Drosophila melanogaster: one gene and its partners. The protein of the gene in region 4 interacts with the protein of the main gene of each other region in a pairwise test. Each region holds a gene or a part of one and is shown on either strand. Other genes may lie near its edges. The genes, in order: Hr78, Picot, H2.0 and CG1602.

Region 1 (5,816 bases), on a different chromosome or scaffold from region 4:
TTGGCCGGCTTACCGATGATATTCTCAAATCCGCCACGGCGAAGCTCAAGTGGCGCCAGTTCGCCGAGAAGTTTAACAAGTTGGACGATTACTCGTATGGCACCCTGATGCGCGCCGATGCCAGCAGGGAATTCTCCCCGGACAACTCTATCTTCGTGTTTCGCGTCCAGTTTCTGGCCATCGAGATTGCCCGGAATCGGGAGGGACTCAACGATGAGGCTTACGAGAAGCACAAGCCCGCCAGAAAGGTACCCGAAGAGGAACAGTAATCCCTCGCTCTAGCTTAGATTAAGTTGTAAAGACTGGATGCATATTTAGCTGCAGTTCGTCTATCTACTTTAGTAAACAATCAAATTATTTTTATACAAAAAATAAAAATATAACGACCGCCTTTAAATTGTTCCCTACACGTTGCCATTTCTTGACTTTGTATTCTGCTTTCTGCCAATCTGTGGGATGAGATCCACATCTTTAATAAAAATTAGATTAACATTTGATCAAAGTTGTGTTGTAATAATCTAATGTATACATCTCAAAGTTCTGATGCAAACATTCTGTTTAAAAACATATTCGCTTTTATTGGGAAATCGATTCCATTTTATCTGTGAACAACAATAAACCCATGGTTTTATGTTAGAATATTGTATCCTAAACTATATATTGTATATATTAAATATATAATTAATGGGATTTGCCTAGTTGCTACATGTATTGCCCGCACTTGGTCCATCTTCAGTCTTGCTTTTGGGCAGTCTAGCGAATCTGCTTGCGCCCTGTTCTTCTCAATTCCGCCTACAGTCCACTGGTGTTGCTGGTCATCAGTATGAACGGAATAAGAGCATCCATCTGCATCTGCCCCACCAAGTTGGCGAAGAACAGCTCCTCCATGGCCTCTGCGTCCAGGCTGCTGAGCGGAAGAAGGCGAGCCACCAGAACATTAAAGCGCTCCTCGCCGCCGCCGATGCCACCCTGCCTTCTCAAACTTGACAGAGCGTAGAGTTGGACTCTGCGGACGTAGCCTCGCAACGACCGCTCCTTGCGCTGCTGCAAGAGCGTTGGATTGAAGAGCAAGATCAGACGCAGCAAGCCAAACTCCATATCAGTAACATCCAGTGACTGGAGCTCCTGGACAAAGTCGTGCAGGGTCCTGGTGAGATTTGCCATCTTCGAGATCTTCAACGGTTCGATCTTATCGATATCCGCTAGCTGGCGAGTGCTTTGAATAAACTGCCCGATAATGGTGGGCACCGAAAGCTGACCCTGACACTGCGCCAAAGCTATAGCCATTAATGCTGGCCACACTCCTCTCAGGAGTTTCACCTGTGTATGGGCTTCCAATTGTTCGAAAACTGGAACCTTTCGAAGGGTATGGATGGTGAGAAAAATGATTCGCGAGCCCGTCTCACACACATAATGAATATTTAAATACGAGTGGACCAAAGTCGGCGGTTGCACATGAAAGGCACACTGCACATCGGTGAGAAGATCCTGTTCAAAGACCGCCTCATTGATAGCAAAATCGCTTCCACCGCTTCGGTTCCCACCGCACTCAAAGTCTAGTTCCATGTGCTCCAGCTCCGCGTCTACGGCATCCTCGGTGCCACTGTCCTCCGCCTCTGAATCGCACTCGGGCTTCACACTCAGATTACCATTTCGCTCCAGTTGGTTTTGGATGGGCTGCAGGATCTGCAGTCCCTTGTGGATGACCCGCATGTCCAGCGAACTCTGAATAAGCCCCATTGTCGAGGTGGTAGGCAGAGCGGTGGGTACTTCCCCAGCATTAAAGTTCAGGTGCTGCGAGTTGTTGTTGCTGGCGCTGTTGGCGAGCAACTGCAAGCACAGCGTGCTGCTGTTGTCCATTGAGTCGTCCTCGTCATCCTCGGGATCTGCCTTCGGAATATCTGGCGAATAGCTACCACTCTGTTGATGCTGTTGCTGTTGTTGCTGCTGCTGTTGGGTAGCGAACACTGCAAAGTCAATAGGAGATTATTAATGGTGAATTCGTTTAAAAGAAGTTAAATATGGATCAATCATGGCAGTTAAGTATATATGACCAACCAGAATGTAAATCAAAGTTCAACTTACTCAATGTCTGCGTTAGTTCTGCGAAATTCAAACCCATCGGGAATATATTCTCATTCAAATTGAAGGCCGTTGCTGGCGCGCTGTGCACTGGAGGCGTGGCCGCGGATTCGGCCTTTACACTGTGCCCCTTGCCACGCCCCTGCTGATAGCCGGACTTGCCGGATAGGTAGGTGGACGAGCCATTACCGCCGCCAGAAGTGGATGAGCTACCGGCAGCAGCGATGATCCCCTCCTTCCTGTCCACAATCGGTTTCCTCTCGTGCTGCACAGCTGTGAACAAAAGTTGATGAGAACGGAAGGCAATTAATTAGAGCGAGAAGTGAGGTGAGGATGCGGTTTGATGATTTTCAAAGCGAGGTGATGGTGAGTAAGTGGGTGAATTGGTTAATGTTCGTGCAGGCTGGGAATCTTTTGTGCCTCCGCCGCTGCAGTTTTAAGATGTGCAAGTTACTGAAGTGGATATTCACGTTACAGAAGCAAACACTGGGATGCAATTAGATTCACGTGATTACTTGGTGTAAAATGCACTTCACAGACGAAAATTGAATTGAATTCAATTGAAATTGAACTTTCTCTAGATTAGACTATTTATCTTTGAGTCCAATTCGAATTGGAGATCATCCAACCAGTTCTTGATTAAGCTCTGGGAAACTGAGTTCCTGTGAATCGATAACGTTTCATTACTTGTCAGAGTTAAATGCTACATATATGATATCTCCTAATTTCTACAATGCAATTCTGCTAAAGCCTGCTGGAGCACGTAGACTCTGGCCAGGCCAGAGATTGGTTATAGCTTGAGACGACGACTTAAACGAAAATTACAATCACTTCGCATGCCGCTGGCCAGGCACTTCTGTAGTCGACAGAACTGGCACCGATTCCTGTGGTGCTTGGTGACCTCGCAGTTCATAGCCCCGCGACACTGGTAGCCCAGCTGCTTCCGGATCGAGCGCTTGAAGAATCCCTTGCAGCCTTCGCAGCTTATGGCTCCGTAGTGCCGCCCGGAGGCGCGGTCCCCGCACACCAAACACAGCTCCACGCTCAACGTTGCGGATGCTCCGGCTCCCATTCCCACGCCGCCTCCTGGCAGAGGAGTGCCGCCTGAGGCACTGCCTCCTCCGATCAAGGGCATCGCTCGGTTTTCTGCAAGGTCAGAGGGCAATGGCAACAGTCGCGTTAGAATGGGCTCCAAGGTGGCATGGCTCGGGTGATTGGACTCACCTTCGCTTTTGATGAACGTCTCAACCTTAACGCCGTCCATTGTCGCCACAGCAGGCGGCTAAAAAATAGTCGTCGGCTGTATAAATAACTGAAACCCAAACATCTTCACATATGTAATTTAAATTTTACTTGCAATATAAAGTAGAGAAGAGATAAATATGGAGTGTGTCTAGAATAAAGGAATTACGAGCCGAAAAGAGAGGTATGAGGTGGTTAATTCTATCACAAAATATATTTATATAGTAGATAATAATAATAATAATAATAAATGTATTATAATATATTATATTGATGTTTTCAAAAAATAAATCATTGAATTTTACGCAATATAAAACACCGTTGCTGCTGCCAACAAAAGTGCTACTATTTTGGACGCAGCTGTAGCTAACGTAGCCAGAGCTATTTTAATAGAACCTGTTTTGGCTGCATCTGTGTGGGTGCCTGTGATGTGAATGAATTGGTCTTGCTTACTTGGCTCTTTGAAAATTCTTATTGGACGTCTGTTATCACCATTCTTGAGCTTTTAAAAACATCTATTTTTCGAGGCACTTGGTTAAAGTTATGTTACTTCCGGTCAGTTACGATATTTTCAGGCACTTTGTGCCTATTTTGAACCTTTTCTAACGCAATAAAATCTCCTTGTTCCAATTCACTTGCGAGCAGTGTGACCGCAGTTGGGCTCTTTCAACATACCATCCGGTCCCATATACTAAAAAAAGGCAGCTCATTGTGCAAATATACCAAAACACCTGTAGAGCTACAGTTCGTTGAAATTGTAATTTTTAACGTAAAACAAAGGATAATAATAGAATTACTAATATCAATAATAACAAAGGCGTGTCTAGGGTACAAATTAGAGTCAAGCTTAATCAATTAACACAAATTTTAATTCTCATAAGCCCACAAGGACATAATATTAAATTTTATACTTTGAGTTACCTTGGCTATTTGATTAAATTGATAAGCCTATCCCAAGTTTTTACTTAACTTTTGTACTCAAAACTAGGCGCTCTGCCGTATTAGCGCTCTGGTATTGATCCAAAGAGAAACATCTGTTGATGCCTTCCATGTGGATATAGTTAAAAAGAAGGGGCTTTTGTTTACAAAAATACAATTTAATATACAAGTGAAATTGTTACAAAAAAGCTATAACGAAAAGAGCCCTAAGAATGGAACTAGTATATTTGATTGTGTTCTCCTTTCTCGCGTATTTTTTGGTCTTACAAACGACTAAGCCACAAATTGCTCACACAAATATCGAAAGGCAGACAGGGTTGAGTGAAAGTATACTTCTGGGTTTCGGAATGGGGTCATGGATGGGCCGAAATGGAAATCAGCAAGCTCACAAACATGCACACTCCGCCTACACAGTGCCACTACAGTCTAATATTTCAATTATTTATTCTTTAAGCCCATTGCCCGTTTGGTGGCCCGTCCCAGGAAGATGCCGGTGAGGAAGACCAGGCCCGTGGCGCTCATTAGTATCACAAGGAAGAATTTCCGCGCCGGAGAGGCGACGACTTGTTGCACTAGCTGCTGCACATCCTCGGGCGGAAGCGCCAACGTGTCGTCTGCGTTCCTGAACATCTCTATGCGTCGCTGCAGCTTTTCTCGGCAGTCCGCCTCTAACGAGTTCGGCGTATCCTTCAGCAGCGTCCTTAAGCAATTAAGTTCTAGAACATAGAGAGAAAAACATTAATTATTATATTTATAACCACACCAACCACACACACACACACACACACACACACACACACACACACACACACACACACACACACACACACACACACACACACACACACACACACACACACACACACACACACACACACACACACACCCCCCTGCACCAAAAAGGAATGTTCAAGAAATTTCATAATTTGCTGCCTATCACGTAACTTCCCGTTGTTTATTTACACTATGTACTGTTCTTATTCTCTTAGTCAATCTGCCTCCAATTATATCGATCTGCTTCAAATACATAAGCTGTTTGATAGGTGCTTTCACTAAGAGTTTCCAGTGTAGGAAGAGGAATTCTACTATCTGCCCCCCCTGGCTGATGGCCTGGCCAAAGACCCTAGAATAACAAGATGCGTAACGCCATACGATTTTTTGGCACACGATTTTTTGGCCGTGGCTCTAGAGGTGGCTCCAGGCTCTCTCGAATTTTTGTTAGAGAGCGAGAGAGCGAAGAGCGCTACAGCGAACCGCTCTTTTCTACGCATACAGTGATAGCAGACAACTTTATGTGTGCACACGTATGCTCATGCATTGTAAATTTGACAAAATATGCCCTTCACCTTAGAAGTTCTTTGGCTTTAAATCTATATTATTTTTGATCAATTGGCACCATGCGAAAAATTCTTGTTTTGCATTGCCTTAACGTTATTATTATTTGAAAATAGATTAGAAATAGTCAAATCTATGTACATATTATCACAAAAATAAATTTCAAAAATGACTTTATATAAGAATATTTGTCATTAGAGTATTCATCTTGCGGCGTG
Region 2 (5,935 bases), 9.1 Mb from region 4:
TACGCGTCGGACTGCTGCGATAGTCCATGTAGAAGGTGCGCGCCATAACAACAGCACAAATGAACATCACCACCGATATTAAGAGCCACACCAGGTGCACAATCTTATTCGTATCCTCGTCACGAGTGTATTTCAATCCATGGATACTGCTGGTGGCACAGAAGTCACTCCATGTGCGTCGCAGATAGCCCACAAAGGGGGTTACTTTCAGATCCACTTGCTCCGGCTTCAGCTCCTCCTGATGGCCCATTGTAACTGCTAACTAAATCCTTCTGCTTTAGTGCTAGCATTTAAGTAGCTGATAGAGGAGATGGTTGCACTTGATATCCTGACAACTGCTTATTATTTACGAATTAGCCATCAAGGGTGAAAGAGTAACCAACGTTGTTAGGAAAGCTTATTGTTGGCTTTAAGAGAATATGATTATTGGTTATTCTTTAAACAACTTCTTTAAGCAACATTCATTCCCAATACACGTAATTGGTCCTTTTTCTGCCCTCTTCCAATAAATGTTTAAATGTTTTTTGTTTCTTAAACTAGTAGTTTTTAATGGTTTTCATACATTTGGTTGTTTGCTTAACAATGTTCGCTTGAGCGGTTCATTTAATTTCAAAACAAATCAGTGAGAGAAGTAAACTCTTTCGCTATCACAATAAAATAAGAAAACTACACATTTGCAATGGTAGACCTCGATTTCACTAACTAAAGTTGACGTTTTGTGCTCGACTTGGTGTGGTTTCGGTTTCAGTTCCCAATTTATTTACAATTGGAAGATTAGTGTCTTTTTAGCGGTATTTATGCAGATGTAGGAATAAATCAAAGGCTAACTATCAATATTAACAACTTTTGGCTTATCAAATAATTAGACTAAAACAAGGACTAAGCTACGCATATCGTATAGTGTACGGATTAATGGTTAATGACGCACGACTACGGCTAATACTACTTCCATTTGGAGTCCTAGGAACTCGAGATGGCCGCTGGTGCCGTGCTGCCGTTGCTCAGCCTCGCTGGGGAGGTGGTGACGGTCGTCTGGAGGGCCGGCTTCTGCTCATCGTCCTCCGGATTGTCCCAGTACTGACGCTCACCGGATCCGAAGATGTTGTAGAAGGTACCGCAAATGATGTACACAAAGGCAGCGATGAAGAACACGATCTGCCACTGACCCATCATGGGCTAAAAATGGAAATAAATTGTTATAGTATCTGTTTTCCAACTCAAATGGACTTCCGAACTCACCTTGCTGGGATCAGAAATGAGGTGACCTGCAGCAATGGGCGCTAAGAGACCAGCCAAATTGGCAGAGCAGTTAGTGATCGACATTAGGAAGCCGGCGAAACGCGGTGTGAGGTCCAAGTGGTTGATCTTGAAGCCGGAGTAGATACCTCCATTAAGACCCACTCCGATGGTGAGGATGGCCAAGGTCAGTGCTCTGTCGCAGCCCGTGTAGGAGGCGGCGATTAGGGCGACTCCCGGTCCATACTGGCCAATACTGTTGATCAGCTTCCTGGTGGCCGTGTGCGAGAATCTCTTCGAGCTAATCATCCAATCGGCGACCACCGAGATGAACATGGAGAAGAGCCACATGGCCAAGTAGGGCAGGGAGCTGAGCAGACCGTTCGACTTCAGGGAGAAGCGGAGCACCTGCTTCATGTAGGTGGGCAGCTCGGTCATCAGAGTCTCATAGCCGTAGTTGTGACCCATGTGGGCGAACAGAATGGCGTAGAAGGGCAGCGACTTGATGATAGCCTTGAAGGGAATGGGAGGGCTCTAAAAAGTAAGAATAGAATATTATAATTTCAATCTAAAATTGTTAATTATCTCCAAATCCCACCTTAACAACATCAGTTCCCCAGAGGGAATCGTTAATGTACTTCTTCTCGCGCTCATCAATAGTGGGATGCGAAGAGGGATCCTCGTGCACGAAGATCAGGAAGGCGATGGACCAGACGGTACCCACAATTCCAAACACATAGAAGATCGACGGCCAGCCGCCATCGAATCCGTATTCAGCCAGCAGGCCGGAAAGTGGCATAGAGATGATGGTTCCAAACTGTGCACCCGCATACACGGCGGCACCCATTCGTGACCTTTCGTTGGGCGGAATCCATTTGGCCAACATGGCGTGGGTGCAGGGCACGATGGGACCCTCACCTAGACCTTGGATGAAACGCACGGCGCACAGACCCCAAACACCTCCACCGCGGGCAGCCACCGGAACCAGGAAGGCAAACACGGAGTTGATCAACATGCCGTAGCCGAGGAAGCGCAGGGAACCGTACTTCTTGGCCAATATGCCAAAGGGAATCTGGGTGATGACATAGCCATAGAAGAAGGACGACAAGATGTAGCCCTGCAGAGCTGAGCTCCAGGCGAACTCGCCATCCTGAGAGTCATCCTGAAATTGGGAATTGAAGAGAATTCATCAGCATAAATTGAGTTTTCTTTTTATATAATGCCAACTTACAATAGGAATATCCCGATCTCCGCACTCATCATCGTACTCCTCTGCCTCTCCAGACTTGATGGCCGTGTGGTTCACCATGGCCACAATGGCCACCGACATGTTGGTGCGCATCACATAGGCATTGGCCATGCCCAGGAAAAGCATAAAGGTCACAAAGTACCGGGTGGCAAAGCATCCTAAAAAATGCCAAGAAAACCGAGAGAATTAGCCAAGTGATTACCAAAATATTCCTCTCAGAGAGTATGGCAAAATGAAATGCGTCAGAAAAAGCCAAAATAAATAATTTATCTGCGGCAAGCGGATGTCTTGTCGACAACTATTATTGCTAGCTAACCAATTAAATGCTTCGGAAATGCAGAAATAACCCAAATATATCGCGGCTAAAAGCGATATATGAAGATATAATCTCGTCTGCGGTTTGTTCAGCTTCAAGGTTCGTTGCTCGGAGATAAGATTCTCGGATTCTAGGTTTGCTAAGTGAATCATTTAAGATATCGGGCCCACAAATGTTTCTGTTATGCTGTTATATACGTCTAGTTGCTTATTATTTTAGAACTGATTACTTATCGCATTACAATAACTGAGAATCAACCGATTTCTTCTTAAATTTCACAATAAACTTTTGCAATTGAGAGCTCTACTCTCCTTATTTGATTTTATTGCCCAATAGTCATATTTCGTGATCGCGTTTTGTAACTACGACGAAAGCAATTGTTTACATTTGGCTGGATGAGTGTTTGTAATTTTTAGTGCCGTTTGTGTCATTTGTCAAACGTGAATCGCCGCAATTCCAGCAATTTTCACGGCCACATGGGACACGTGAGCTTACCTAGAATTCCTATTTCATGTACAGTTGCGCTTACTTTCTAGGATTTGCGAATGGGCTCGGATATTTCTGGTTTAATTAAGGGGTGACGCATAGAAAGTTCAAGGCTGTAAGCGAGCAGAACAAATTAAGCCAATTTACTTTCAAAACCAATGAACTTTGGCCACCTGTAGCCAATCGAAAAGTGAAATGATAAGCAATTTGTGTTCAATAACCCGGTGGATTTCATTGGAATTCAGTTGCCCATAACTAGCAAAATAAATTTGGAAATAAACAATCGTTCGAATCCGCAATTATGCTGATTCAAATTTGATTTTAAAAACATTGTTATTCGCTCGCCGTGTACTTTTGCTTACGCAGCACTAAATCGAAAAGTGTGCTCGCTTTTCCCCTGGTTTCCCCACATATTTCCACCAACGTCTCGTGTTGCACAATTGCCGAGTTTGCTTTCGTTGGCAGCTAGCTATCTGGCGATGAGGAAAAGCACGTGTATATCACGCGAAATGAGTCCAAGGGGAAGAAAACCGGTCTAAATAGGAAAATACTTTCCTCAATATAACGCATACGCAGCGTGGTCACAAAATAAAGACAGAAACTGGCGAAGAAAACAAAAAGGACCAACTTGTGCTAGCTTATCCTTTTGCATTTCAGACTTACTCTGCGGCTGTTGCTCCAGAGATTCGTGGAGATTCCTCTGATTCCATACCAAAACATGGCCATCGCGATGCCGATGATTCAGACTGCTGCGTCGAAAGGGCATAGTGTTCGATTTTGGCCTTAACTTAAATAAATTATCTAAATTTTATCTAGCACGCGTTTTACTCGAGTTCAAGACTTTTTGCGCACACGCTTAAACCATTTCATTGTCTATCTATCGACTTGGTCGGCTGAAGACCGTAACATATCGCGCACTGGGAAAACTCAAAGGGTTCGCTTGAGGGGAAAACTTGAGCGACAATTTATCGCTGGGTCTAGTGCGAGTGTATGTTCTGCCACCGACGTTGAACGGTCAACTGAGTGGGTACTTTTTGCAACCGCCAGCTGCTTTCAGCTTTTTCTACTGAGCGCCAACTGTTGCGCCGCCTTCATTTATAAACTGCGGCCATCGCTGTGGGTATATCGCATATGAGTGTATCTGCGGCTATTGGGTTCGGATTCGGATATAGAACGAGTGAGGTGCGGTGCGGTATTATTCTGCGCCGGCGTCGCTCTCTCCGCCGCCGTTGGGTGATTACATCAGTTTTAGTGTTCAGATTTCGACTAATTAAGTGAGACGATGGAAAATTCTCCCCTTGCATTATGCATCATTTTCGGACCCGGCGATTGATGTCAATTGATAGAGTGAACTTTTCAGTCGCTGCAAAGTCAAAGAGATTTGGTCGAACCATCTACCGATATAGTATATATGTCTAATTATATCGGATGGACGTAAGCATGCCACACATTCACATCTCGTGACTTTCGGCACATGGAAGGCAAAGTACACGCGCTGTCTAAAATATGCACAGCTAAGTGATTATGGTAACATCGCGAGTACCCGCTGCGGACTTTGAAAGATTGCCAAATAATTTTGGTATCTTATATTGAAGTGGTGTTGTTGGGCTACACTGGGCTTCATACTATCTTAAAGATAATCTCTACCCTAACCATCCCCAACAAATGAAAATGGGACCAGACACATGTCTGTAGCTAGACTCGGGATGAAGTCATACAAATGCGACGACACTAAGTGGAGGCGACCCCACTAGGTGTACACTGTACACCATACATATGTATTCTGAGTAATAACTGGTCACGCCAAAATATATACACTATTTTAATCGCTTTGACAAGTTCTTGCTAACTTTGTCATAATCCTAAAATGTGAACAAAACCCATTAGAATTTTCGCCCATTGTTTTGCATTAATAATCGCTGATAATCGCAAAGCGAAACCAAAGTTAAAACTGTACAAATAGCTACAGTCACGCATGAATCGCACAAGTGATTGTTTATATATATATGTGTGTGTTGGAGCCCGCTCTGAAAATTGCCGCCGGCTGAGAAAAACACGTGTTTGTCGCCTGCCTTCGCTCGCAAGTTCCAATTACCCAGACGACATGATCACATCGACTTCCGAATGATCTACACATCGAAATTGGATATCGCTTTGGGTTTTAAAAACGAAATGTTTTGAAGGCATTTGGTTATTTACATGGATATGTGTATAAAATATTATTGTATTTAGTTTGATCCTTTTTTAGCATTCAACACTCCTTGGCCAGATTTTTTACTGCCCTGTAAAGTTTTTTTCTTTCGTGTTAATTGCGCTTTGCCGCCATTGAGCGTGTCTGTCGAGCTCTCGTGACAATAAAGAGAAACCATTCACACTGTCTGCTTTGATGTGTACCATATTCTAATTATTTAAGTGTATGTAGGGTGTATTTTTGGCAAATCCCCTAATGGAATACTTTATGGCTAGGCTGCGGTACAGTTGTGCGCGGCCAAAGCAATTAAGTAATTTTTCATTTTGTCTGCCAACTATTCCCATTCGCTTCCGTCTTCCGAATGGAATGAAAGCAGTTCATATTTATTAATTATTAATTATTCATGGGCATTTGAAAGAGTTAACTATTTTACATACTCTCTACATGAAGTCTACAA
Region 3 (7,560 bases), on a different chromosome or scaffold from region 4:
GGATGTCTTGAAGACACCTCCGGATTCGGGTACTGCACTCGGCTGCTTCTCCTGGCCACTCTTCAGATTCTCGCGCGTGTGCCGCCACTTCATGCGACGGTTCTGGAACCACACCTTGACCTAATCAGGGTATAAAAATAATAATATATTGGTTTTTATAGAGCTATGAAAGGAGTCGAATGTGCAAATGTTAAACTATGAAAATCCCATCTTTTAACTAACCTGAGCGTCGGTGAGATTCAGTCGTGCCGCCAGCTTGCGGCGATCTGGCTTGGTGATGTACTTCTGCTGCTGGAACTGAATCTCCAGGCCCTTGCGCTGCAGATTCGAGAAGACGGCGCGAGACCAGGATCGCTTGCGCTTCCCATTGCTTCCGGCTGAGGCGTTGCCCTGGCCATTGCCACCTCCATGTCCATGTGCACCGTTCTGGGATGTGGCAGCGGCGGCGGCGGCGGGCGAGGTGGGCGCTATGTCCAGGAGCTGCTGCGGCGTCTTGCCCAGAAATCGCTGCTGCTGTTGCGTCAGCTGGAGGCTCGTGAGGCTGTGGAGCGGCGCCAGTAGCGCCGAGGCTGTCGTCGAGTTGTGTGGCGGGGGCTTGTGCTGCTGATGGAGGTGTTTGGGATGGTGCTGATGATGATGATGCTGCTGGTGCTGCTGCTTCTGATGTTGATGGAAGCGGAGGAGCGCATTGGTAGCCAGCGTGGGATAAGTGGGTGCGGCTGTTCGGGAATGGAATGTTAAAGTCAATTGGGAGATTCATACTTCCTTCATTAGCAATAACTCTTAATTTGTTGCTATACTGAATCCGGTGCGTTTTTTACGCACCAATTTGGATATTTATTTTTATAGGAAAACTACCATTAGTTATGGACAACATCCTCCCTTGGTAGCACATTGCATCCGCAGGAAATAATACATTTATCGCCGGCCAAAGAAATGATACTTGTTTCGCCAAAGAAAATATGAAATTCAATTTTTTGTGTTTTCTGAGTAAATTATTTTGATCAATAAAATGCATGTTGAGAATTTTTAAATGGGCTTGTTTATAATAAAATTTTCACTTAATTGGAAATTATCATTGAAGCGTTTTGTGGCTAGGGGGGGCAAACGAAATTTGTTTACTTCTAGCGCGAATCTAAACAACAACAATTACCTCTAGAGATCCAAAATTATTTGGGGTAATCGAACACGACATGGGGCACACGAGGTTGAGGTCGAACCAGGGTGCTTTACTTCCCTTAAATGTTTTTTAAATATCCAAGAATTTATACACGCAGTAAGAAACAATTCGAATGACGTTGACTTTCCTATTGTATTTCCAATCATTATTGGCATTTACTATCCTTTATCTAACTACTGAGTTTCAATCAAGATCATTACGGCATTTATCAACTCAAAGGACTCCGCTGAAAAGTATGCTACAAAAAGTTCCTTTGAATCCTCAGTTCACGATAATGTTCACTAATGTTGATATGAAATGTAATCCTGATGTTGTTAAAAGGCCACAATTTTAATTCCTATCCTTGACTTTTTCATTGAATTTTATTTGATTTCAAACTGCAAACCATTCCTCTTTGTTTGTAGCCAACGCTAAATTATCATAGGTATTTTTTATTGCCTTTTTAACGTTGTGCTATGTGGAATTCGATTTGTTTGTGTGCTCGCGGCATGCGCCTAATTGTTTTCGAGATCGAGCGTTTTATTTACTTAAGCAACACACTACTCGATCGATTGTGTGTATTTACACTGCAGCGGAAATGCGCTTCTGCACTTGTGGATACAATTGTATCTCAATCCGTGCGCTTGTGTATCTGCATCGGGAACGCCAATGGAATCTCAGCACATCTGCAGGGGCTAATAACGCCTTAATTGGCCGTTTTGGCATTTGGCTTGTGTCAACCATCGGGGGTTTGTTATAATGAGTTTTCACCGACTTTCAACACCTTGGATGTTGGCCGGGGCATTGGGGTTCACTCACAGCGCGAGATCATTAATTGCCGACTTTCCCGTTCAGATACATTTACAAAATACCGCCAGCGGACCCGTAAATATCTTAATGAGTTGTGATAATTTTTCGGATGCCATCTTAAATCACTCAAGGGTCTGGGTTGCAGATGCATCTCCAGTAGGATGTGTTTGCGAATCGTACATTTCGCAGCCATATTTAAGTTGCATCGATTTATTAGCACGATGCATTCCACATTTACGACTTGGCGAATATTGTGGCTTATTTCGCGGTAAATTGCGAATGATCTTTTGGGGTTAAGCAGAGCACTCCCAGTGGGCCATGTGCTATGGAAATTTCGACTACCAGCTCGACAAGCGGAGTATGTGTTTATTTGATTGATTTTAATATATTATACATATGTATCTACTTCCGAACATCCGAATCTCTGACTTTTACCAGCTAACTATGCACTAAGATATATTATCTGCATTATGTACTTTCAAAATATTTAAGTGAAATCAAAAGTATAGCTAATATTTCAATTGTATATTTCGTGAAATATCTTTAGCTACTTGGGATTGTCGTCAATTTTCACTCAATTCATTATAGTTAATCCTATAGTTGTGGTATCTACATACATATATCAGTCCCGTTAATTTGAGTTGAGTGCGTGGTAATTATTATTGCTACAACCCTCCCCTGCTGTTGGGAACTTGAGAAAGAGTCTTCAAAGTTCCAAAAGAAATCGTCTGAGGGCCATCATTAATCAGGGATCTTCGAACGCTTTGAAAGTGCATCTATCAGTTGGATTAACATATAAATTGCTAATTAATTAGACCCACGGCGCCGGATTATTGTTCAGACAGAATTTCCATATCAGACAATGGTCTGTAGCATCCAATCGATCGATGGATGGATCGATTGATCGGCAGCCAGAAGAGCAACAACAACAGATCAACAAACTACTCATCGCCAGGCGGGACAGGCAAACAGCAACAAATAGTCGACGGAGGAGCCGCAGAGATCTCGCTGGTCCATGATTTTATGATGTGCGATGCGATGCAATCAATCCATCACGGAATAATTCCGCAGGGGCCGGCAGGTTGGACACGGCGGGCAGCCACAGGGTAGCCTCCTCCTGAAAAGGCCACCACAGTGGGTGGTTGTGTAAATACTTGGCCTTTTGGCTCGGCCCCCAAAGAACAGCGCATAGTTTCACCCGTGCCCGTGCCCGTACCCATACCCGGTACAGTCATCCATCGGTCAGCAGTTCCCTGTCGTTGGCCTAAACGGCAGCCGAGCCTCATTGGAGTCGGTTGAGCCGCAGTAGTTGGAACCGTGGCGCCCAATCTATCAGAGATCCGCGTCTCTAGCCGGGCCAAAGATGCCTCCACCTGTCGAACTCCTCGGCCGGCGGAACAATTCATTAGAGAGCGGGCAATTAGATGGATAGCTATCTGTATCTGCCCATGAATGACGGGCCAATTGCCCAAGCAAATAAACAAACTGTTCGCCACAAACGTTTTCCACGATCCGTGTGAGCTTGAAGTTTATTTTTAAAGACTGACTCGTAATTTGTTCATAAATTGTTCTTAATTTTCCACTTTGGTCTTTGGCATCTCATCTATTTGCGGTGCCCAAAGGATTGATGAAGCCTTTCAGGTGCTGTCTGTTCTTCGTTTTTTTTTTACCGATCTTTTGTTGATTGAGCTATGTCGAATTTATTCGCCTTACTAATTGCTCCTCCCATTTTTGGCTGAGCAAATGTGTTTGAAAACCACTTAGCACTGATGATAATTTTCATTAATGTTCCATCATTGTGTGAAGTGTAATTTATTTAAGTTTGGCGCTAATTTTGCTACATAATTTAATCGTGTGCTGGAATTTGGCGGAATTTAAAGGGCTATTAGTATCGAATTTACGTTGGATGAATCAACCAAAGTCTTTTTTGAATATGTTTTAGTCGGCTGTTAAAAAATTGTATTTTGCTACTTGTAACTAGGTCTAAACTATAGTAAGCTTTAAGTTAAGCTCGCTAATACCATTTACACATCATTTTAGTATAGCTCCACATATTTGCGGGTCTCTTATTTTGAAATAAATTAATATCTCAGACATTTCCTAATCAATTTATCCATTGAGGAATCCCAAACCAAATATGTATCTCATTTATCCGCAAAAGATCTTTAAGATCGTTTAAGGCCCTCGCATTGTTAGCACCCACTTGATAAGAATTGTGTACAATATTGAATGGGAAAAGGCTGTGCTGACGATATGTATAAAACTCAAGCAGCTTGTTAAACAATGAACAATTTCTATTCGAAAAGCGAAACATTTACCGATTATGTTGCTCTCACTATTTCCATTTCCATTTCCATTTTCACATAAACAAGATCAAAGTGCGCTGGCAGCCTGCAGGCTTTATAAGAAGTCTTCGTCCCCAGATATACAAAAACAGCAGGAAGTACGGCAAATACCCAAAACAATCCGGACTATTTTGTTGTCGATTTCAAAAATCGAATTGTTTTCGTCAAGAGCCAAAGGCGCGGAACATTTGGCCGCAGGAATATTGCACAATATGGCTGCAGATCAACTAATAATTCAAATAAAAACGTGAAATTTATTGGGGCTGCGCCTTAGGTTCTCACTCTTTGTGTTTCCAGGAATGTTCATTTCCCATTTGGCTAAATTCCATTTCACGATTTTCTCTGCAAATCTCAACATGGCTAATAATTATAGTCCATAATTGAAAAACAGAGCGAAATAGCTAAGGAATTTTGATGGGCAAATGGCGAAGCCACCTCATCAACTCGTTTGATCGTTCCCTGAGATCCTGCATATTTCCATGGAAAGAATGCAGAATGATTGACAAATCGCAATATCTGATTAGCTTTGATCAGTTTTATTGGCGCTGCAAGTGCACACAACATACGGGGAGATTGAAATAGTGCAGATGATAGATCGTATCTACAAGATAGAGTCATGGGTATAAAATATTATTTTGATAAGTGGTACGTTGTTGGAACTAGAAGAGGTTCACTGCGAACGAATGATGTTTCAATAGCTTTCTGTATGGAGCTGATTCCTTTTAAGTTTAAAAGTATCTTAAAAATACACTTAGGTACCTATAATCCATGTAATACGGATCAGTACCAATATAGTTCATATTAATTTAAGGCATCCCTTACAGAGATTAAATGTTTTCCTTCTATCAACTCGGTTTGCTCATGATGTTCCAAATGCCGTGCACTTAATGGTAATTTTGAATGATTTACTTTCAAATGGACATTTTTTTTGTAAAACCTGCTCGGATTCAAAGGATGTTCCCTTTTGAGTATAGTGCATCCTTACCGTGTTCTGCTGCCCGAATTGGCGTCGGTCTGAGCACTGATTTGTAATCCATATAGGGGCCAGGGAACAGCTTATCCAGACCCACGAAGGGGTACGTGTGCGATGAAGTGGGTGTGAAAGTGGGCGGAAGCGTGGCATGTCCAAACCTACGGGATTCGGCATTCGCCTGGCTGAAGCAGTGGGGGAAGGAGCAGCAGGCTAGAATGCTGCCATCGCAGCATGACTTGGTCGAGGGCGAGGAGGAGCTCTGCCGGTGGGATTCCTCGGGTTCCGAGCCCAACAGACGATCCACACTGAAGCTCAGCTTGACTTTGGTGGTGCTCGTGGCGCTGGTTGGCGACGTACTGACTATGGTAGTCGAGGCACAGGATTCTTTGGTGGGCAGCTCATGATCGACATTCACTGGATCGGGACACTTTGCCAGCGTTGGATTCACTTCACACTCGCCGTACATGTGAGTGCTGAGGTTCTCGGGCATACTCTGTTCCATGCTGGCGGCACTCTCGTGTAGTAACATTGTCCGGATATGTGTTGTATATGGTTTCTATCTACGAATCTCGACACAGGACACTCAAAACTGATTTCACACGTTCACAATCGATAGGGACTATCTATCATGTCCAAAACACCGTCGCTGTGCACCAATAAAACGATCGCGAATTTTGGCTTAGGTCTCGTGCACCTCCGATTAAACCGCCTTGCAAGACATCCCACTCAGAACTGATCGGAACCGGCCAGGGAGCACGCTCAACCAGCCATCGATTGCCGATCGGCCAGCCAACGCGGAACAGTCTGTTGGCGGTGGGGTTAATCTCGCTGAGATTGTGTATTCCTGGTGCTGACAGTGGGGCAAGGAGTGCGAGATGATCAGGATATAATGCTAACAATAAATAATGGCTATATGTTCGATATACAGGATATACAAACCAGGATATTTTTTTATCCAACGTGTATATTGTTTATAAAGTAATACTCAAGAAGAGTAATACTATCAAGAAAGATTAGATTTTTGGGCTTCGGTTGGTGGTAACATTGGTTTCTATTCCGCTGAAGATCTATATACCTCTAGAAAGTGCCCTAAAATTATGTTAATCCACTTACCATAGACCTGATCCCACTGTAGCCACACACAGATGGGATACCTTGCCATGCCGATCGCTTGTTTACACACAAGCATGCCGCTGTGTCATTAGCTCAGTCGGAGATCGTTTCCTCGAGCGCAGCCGAGATTTGTTTACCGATTTCTCCATATGTTCCCGTACTCCCACACACAGACACACACACCCCATCCGAATTCCGGTTTCCCTGCGCAGAGGCCATGTCGAGTGGCTCGTGGTTCGTGATTTCTGGCCAATGCGATCGATCCGCAGTGGTGGGCGGAGCCACTGGTGGCGCTGATGCGGCATCTCGCTTTCGCGCCCAAGGAATGTGCCTTCCATTGGCTTGGGATTGAGCGATCTGCGCGAACTCCACCTGCTCCACGCTGTCTGGGTTCAATGAAGTGGGTAACCGGGACTGGTGGTCATAAATCAGAAACCGCATTCCACAAGCGGAAATCCGCAAAACGGAACACGAACGGATCGTCGGGGTTGGAAAACTTAAGTAGAAATGTGTAAATTGCGGAGCGAAACTGGCGTTATTAATAGGAAAATTGTCGTGACTACCTTAAGATAGCATACTTTCCGGCACAAAACTCCCATCCAAGCGGGCGGATTTGGTGCCAAAAACACCCTAGCACCACAAGCCCACAAAGTGACCCAGAAAATGTGGAATATGCAAATGCAATGGCAGCGGAAAATCCATCGCCAGTCGGTGACACTTTTATCCTCTTCAAAGTGAAGTCCGATTAATAATAAAATAATCCTTTTTACTTAAAAAAAAAGATTCAGATACATTCCAGGATATGCCGAACGTTCAAAGATACTGATTGGAAAGAGCATGGCTTAAATTCCATTAACCCATTTAAAGTGCAAATTGAGCCTTAGTGATTGTAGCCAACAACTTTTCCCGGAAAATTATAGGGCATACAACAAATGAAAGCGAAACGCAATCAAACTATGTAAACAGACACGAACGCCACTTATTCTTGAGGAATCGCTGGAAACCGCAACCAAATCGTTGCGGGGCAACTCAATTCACTTTGGCCCAGGAACAGTGCGCTGCCACCACTCGAATGGAGTCGTTCTCAGCGTCCAGGTGCTCCACCATACCGTCACCACTGCCGCACAGTGCCAGTGGCATGGACAGTCCGGATATCTGTG
Region 4 (4,289 bases):
TAGTAATCTGGAGAATGAATGAATAATTAACTAAAGAAATCGGCGCGGAGGGATCATAACCTTACCACTCCGATGGACTATTTCGTGGCCGAACTTCACTCGCGCCTTGTTGAGCAAGTGGTGGGCGTTGTAGAAGTAAGCATACAACTGGTGCTCCAAAGACAGCGATTGCAGCATCTCCGGTATTAGGCAGCCAATGGAGAGCGTGGGTATTTCAACAGACAGAAGCACTGAAAGGGTGGGCGCCAAATCGATTTGGTTGTACCGTTTTGAGGCGGATCTGTGCAAGAATCATTTGTAGATGCAGTTTTTCTTTTAGATTGTACTTTTGGGGCTTACGGTGTTTTGCTGCAGTTGTTGTAATACAAATATAAAGGTACCAGAGTTTCGGCTGGCGTATTGCCGCCATGTCCTCCGCCATCAGCCATGCCATGATCTCCAGTCAGCATAAGCAGAACGTTGGGAAAACTCTAAATAGGGAAGGAGTTACTTTACAGCTTTCCCTCTATATTAAGCTATCTAATAGCTCACCTTATGATCCAATATTTTTTTCACCACCTCATCCATTTCCTTTAGCTTTAGGGGCACCCTAGGGCTGGCATTGCCCTCGACATGACCAATGTGATCGAGGCCCAGATAGTGTAAAATCAGCAAAGACCAGTCACTCCGCTCCAACTCAGTCTCCAGCGTTTTGGTCACATTTCTATCGCCCTCGTAGAAGTCGTTAACATAAAAGGAATCATGGTTCTCGACCTGCCGTGTAAACTCGCTGGGAAAGAGCTTCACCCAGGTGTGGTCGCCGGCAAAGGAAACAACTCGATTCTGCTGTTTTAGCCGGTGCAAGAACGAGTCCTGCATCTGCTCCGTATGACCCACGTTTAGCGCAATGTCGATAAAGTTCGAAAGGGTGCCGGTGGTGATGCTCTTCAAGCGTGGCATAGTCACCGTCGGTATGTCCACATGGAGCTTAAGCTTCTCGCAGGCCCTAGAATAAGCCACCGGCATAGACGTGGCATCGGGAAAATCATCGCGCAACGCGTCGACCAGTAACAGCACAAAGGAGTCATAGGCAGGTGGCGGCGGCGTCAGTCTGTAAAGGGTAACGAGCATTATAGGGGCGCTATCTCACGCAATTATCAGCTCATAAACTCACTCCATGCCAAGCAGAGCGGTGGGCCGGCCCTCTGGCACGGTGCTTTCCTTCTCCGCCACCGAGTAGGAGGCCGGAAAGAAGCCAATCAGAAAGAGCACGGCGCCGCAAAGGAACGCCGTGAGCATGCCGATGGTATAGACCAGCCAACTTTTGTGCTGTTCCATCTTCTTGTTTTCATCGAAAGTACCGCGCTCCACCGAAAACCACAACAAATTCAATATAATTGCCGCCCGTCAGCTGGAAGTCAAATATAAAGGCTAGACAATCGATAAGTGCTGTATGCTATCGATAGACGGCAAGCAAAACTTCAGGGGCGTAGGCACATAAAACTAATAAATGCTAAAGTCTTACGTATAATTTATATTTATTTTAAAACTATTGATACGAAAGAGTTAAGAGAGGAAATTTGTTAGCTTTATGGAAAAAAAGTATTAATATTTACATAATATTACTAACGTTTTGCCATTTCTCGAAGTGTATATTATTTTATACTTAATTTATCTTAATTTACATTTAAAATCTTACATATAAAAGAAATTTTTTAAATTTGATACTTATAAAACAAACGAATTTAATATCGTCTGTCGAACCCTTTTGCCCATTTGTGAATGCGCCCATGGTCTCTCATAGTCGGATATGTATAAACAAACGCTTTTGATTGTTATTTCTAACTTAAAATGGAAACTTGCGGCCTTATTTGTGTGAGCAGGGACTACGAGAAGTTCCTGATGCGCTGCTCCTACTGTCCAACGGACGTGGAGGTGGCCCAGTGGCAGGAGTTTGTGCTGCACATCCGCAACGTGCATAGCAAAGTAAGGAGCATGGAAGACGACTTCGAGCCAGTGGGGGAAAATTCTACGGAGTCTGGGCACGTAGATCCTCCAGAGGAGAAACCCCAAGCGGAAGAGTCGATATTCCAGCAAGACGAATCGGCGGACGGAGCCTGTGTACAGCTGCATATTGACGCAGTGCGTTCGTCGACAAACGAGACTGAGGAGTCGGACGTATCTTTGGTTACAGATGAAGAAGAATCCGTCCAGGACGAGGATCCAAGTGAACCAGCTCTTGATGATGCCAATTTAAAAACCACACCCACATACAAGGTACTTCTAGAAGCCATTCATGAACGCGCTAAACTAATCTCAGCATTCAACTTCAGTTTCATCCATCCTTCTTTCGCCGAGATCACCGAACCATAAAGTTCATAGAGATCTACAAGGAACACCCGTGCCTTTGGAATCCCGCTCACAGCGACTACAAGGAACCCAAGAAATGCAAAGAAGCCCTGAAGCGTATGGCCATTGACTTGGAGGCAACTGTATCCGTATTCCTGAACGAGATGGCCTTAAAGCTGGCCATCAAGAAAGTCCACATGCAGTTCAACACCGTGCACAAGCGGGTGGTGTCTGGAAAACAGAAACCTCAATCGCTGGCTTTCAGTATATACAAATTGTGTTGCTTCTTGAACGCTAGCAACGATGAAGAAGGGGCTACGAATAACGAAAAAATTAAGGCAAGATATTTGAATTAATTCAAATTGAAATTGTTAACAAGCATACTTTGCCCGCAGCTTGATTTCTCCAAGAAAAACAAGCTGACTACCGACCTGATAGAGATGTACGCAAACTTTCCGCAGCTATACGACTCCAACCACAAGGAGTTCTCCAATATGAGCTCTCGAAAACAGGCATACGAGAGCATGGCTGCGGAAATCTCAGTGCCCAATGTGGACATCAACAGCGATGACATATTCCGCGCCATCCAGAATCTCCGCCAATGGTACTACAAGAACACTAAGCATGCCATTTATGCCGGAAGTACAGCCGAGAAGTTCTACCTAGAGGTGTGTCGGTTCATGCCTGCAAAGATGTACAAGCAGCGGCTGGTCTGCGAATTTTGCCACCAGATTACGTCCTCGGATCATGTCCTGCAGTCGCACATCTTCAAGGCGCACAACATCGGCGAGCTGCCCTTCAAATGCACCTTGTGCGACCGAAGTTTTGTGGGACGTTGCGAGCTGGCTAATCACATACAGCGGGTCCATATCGGCAAGACCCACAAGTGCACCCATTGTGAGCGTTCATTCGCTGTGATGTCGGACCTGCAGCTGCACATCCGTACGCACACTGGCCACAAGCCTTACGTCTGCGAGCATTGCGGCAAGGCCTTCCGACTGCGGTCCCAAATGACGCTCCACGTCACGGCTATTCACACGAAGATCAGAGCCTTCAAGTGCACCATGTGTCCCAAAGACTTTGTGAAAAAGGTCGACTTATCGGATCACATCAAGGGCCATTTAAACATCCGCGACAAAATCTGCAGTGTGTGCGGTAAGGGATTCACCAGCTGCCATGCACTCATCCGACACCGGCAGATTCACTCCGAGGTGAAGAAGTTTGTGTGCAAACTCTGCGACTCCAGGTTCTCCCAGTTTGTGGGTCTTAATACGCACATGAAGCGCACCCACAACATTCTTCGTAATAATTCACAAAAGGGTAAAGATGCTGTGGATGCAGAGAACTGAATTTGATTAAATTTGCAATAAAATGACAGTTTATAAATAGGCAATCTTTTGCAAATGGGGGGAAATAAAAATACACAAATGAGAGTGAAACAATATGTTTAAACAAATTTATTTATATAACGGTTTAAGAATGTATATTAATAATTAAGAATATAAATTCTACATTATCTGGCCATGTCCATCTGTCGAAATCTGGGGATGTACATCTAAAAGCCTAAACACATTCCCCTGCCTACGCTGCGCTATTTTTTCCAAAATGTTGGCACGCCCACAAGGCGCCGACAACTGTAACGCCCATACATTTGAAAAACGTTTTGGTGTTTTCCTGTTCATATTTGTCTCGCTATTTTCTATCGATATGACAAAAAAAATATAATTTCTCAACAAATAAGCTTGATTGATTTTGATTTTTCCAAATGGTTAGTACTAGAATTTTATAACATTTTTTTTCGAAAATTGAAATGTACTAGTTACTTTAAAGATTCATTCATGAAATGCAGATTTTTAATCATTTTTAAGCACCACCAACAGTTGTTAAAACGTTTTCTTTTAAGCCTTCATAAAATTGTGTTTAAATATTATTTTAAAAATAGATTTTTATCGAATAGTCTA

The links.
Region 1: the proteins of CG1602 (region 4) and Hr78 interact in a two-hybrid assay, tested with the Drosophila melanogaster proteins (one large-scale study listed by BioGRID).
Region 2: the proteins of CG1602 (region 4) and Picot interact in a two-hybrid assay, tested with the Drosophila melanogaster proteins (one large-scale study listed by BioGRID).
Region 3: the proteins of CG1602 (region 4) and H2.0 interact in a two-hybrid assay, tested with the Drosophila melanogaster proteins (one large-scale study listed by BioGRID).

The regions. Positions count from the first base shown.
Region 1 is NT_037436.4:21,493,514-21,499,329, forward strand, and holds Hr78 (Hormone-receptor-like in 78), read right to left. Parts: upstream 3,982-5,816; 5' UTR 3,778-3,981; intron 3,671-3,777; exon of another isoform or gene 3,630-3,670; intron 3,509-3,629; exon of another isoform or gene 3,395-3,508; 5' UTR 3,347-3,394; coding exon 3,307-3,346; exon of another isoform or gene 3,229-3,306; coding exon 2,908-3,228; exon of another isoform or gene 2,880-2,907; intron 2,356-2,879; coding exon 2,086-2,355; intron 1,968-2,085; coding exon 793-1,967; 3' UTR 506-792; downstream 1-505. Other genes in the region: CG7519 (uncharacterized protein), read left to right, coding at 1-269; Glg1 (golgi complex-localized glycoprotein 1), read right to left, coding at 4,702-4,979.
Region 2 is NT_033778.4:16,654,797-16,660,731, forward strand, and holds Picot (picot), read right to left. Parts: upstream 4,363-5,935; 5' UTR 4,054-4,362; coding exon 3,951-4,053; intron 2,644-3,950; coding exon 2,468-2,643; intron 2,399-2,467; coding exon 1,835-2,398; intron 1,771-1,834; coding exon 1,240-1,770; intron 1,177-1,239; coding exon 961-1,176; 3' UTR 527-960; downstream 1-526. Other genes in the region: nach, read right to left, coding at 1-250. UniProt on the Drosophila melanogaster protein: May be an inorganic phosphate cotransporter.
Region 3 is NT_033779.5:6,013,378-6,020,937, forward strand, and holds the start of H2.0 (homeodomain protein 2.0), read right to left. Parts: upstream 6,026-7,560; 5' UTR 5,817-6,025; coding exon 5,300-5,816; intron 720-5,299; coding exon 223-719; intron 121-222; coding exon 1-120. Other genes in the region: CG13996 (uncharacterized protein), read left to right, coding at 7,473-7,560. UniProt on the Drosophila melanogaster protein: May play a role in pattern formation during embryonic and imaginal development. Is not essential for visceral muscle morphogenesis.
Region 4 is NT_033778.4:7,516,402-7,520,690, reverse strand, and holds CG1602 (uncharacterized protein), read left to right. Parts: upstream 1-1,754; 5' UTR 1,755-1,830; coding exon 1,831-2,256; intron 2,257-2,312; coding exon 2,313-2,666; intron 2,667-2,723; coding exon 2,724-3,677; 3' UTR 3,678-3,768; downstream 3,769-4,289. Other genes in the region: PIG-G (phosphatidylinositol glycan anchor biosynthesis class G), read right to left, coding at 1-7, 66-280, 340-470, 532-1,090, 1,154-1,317.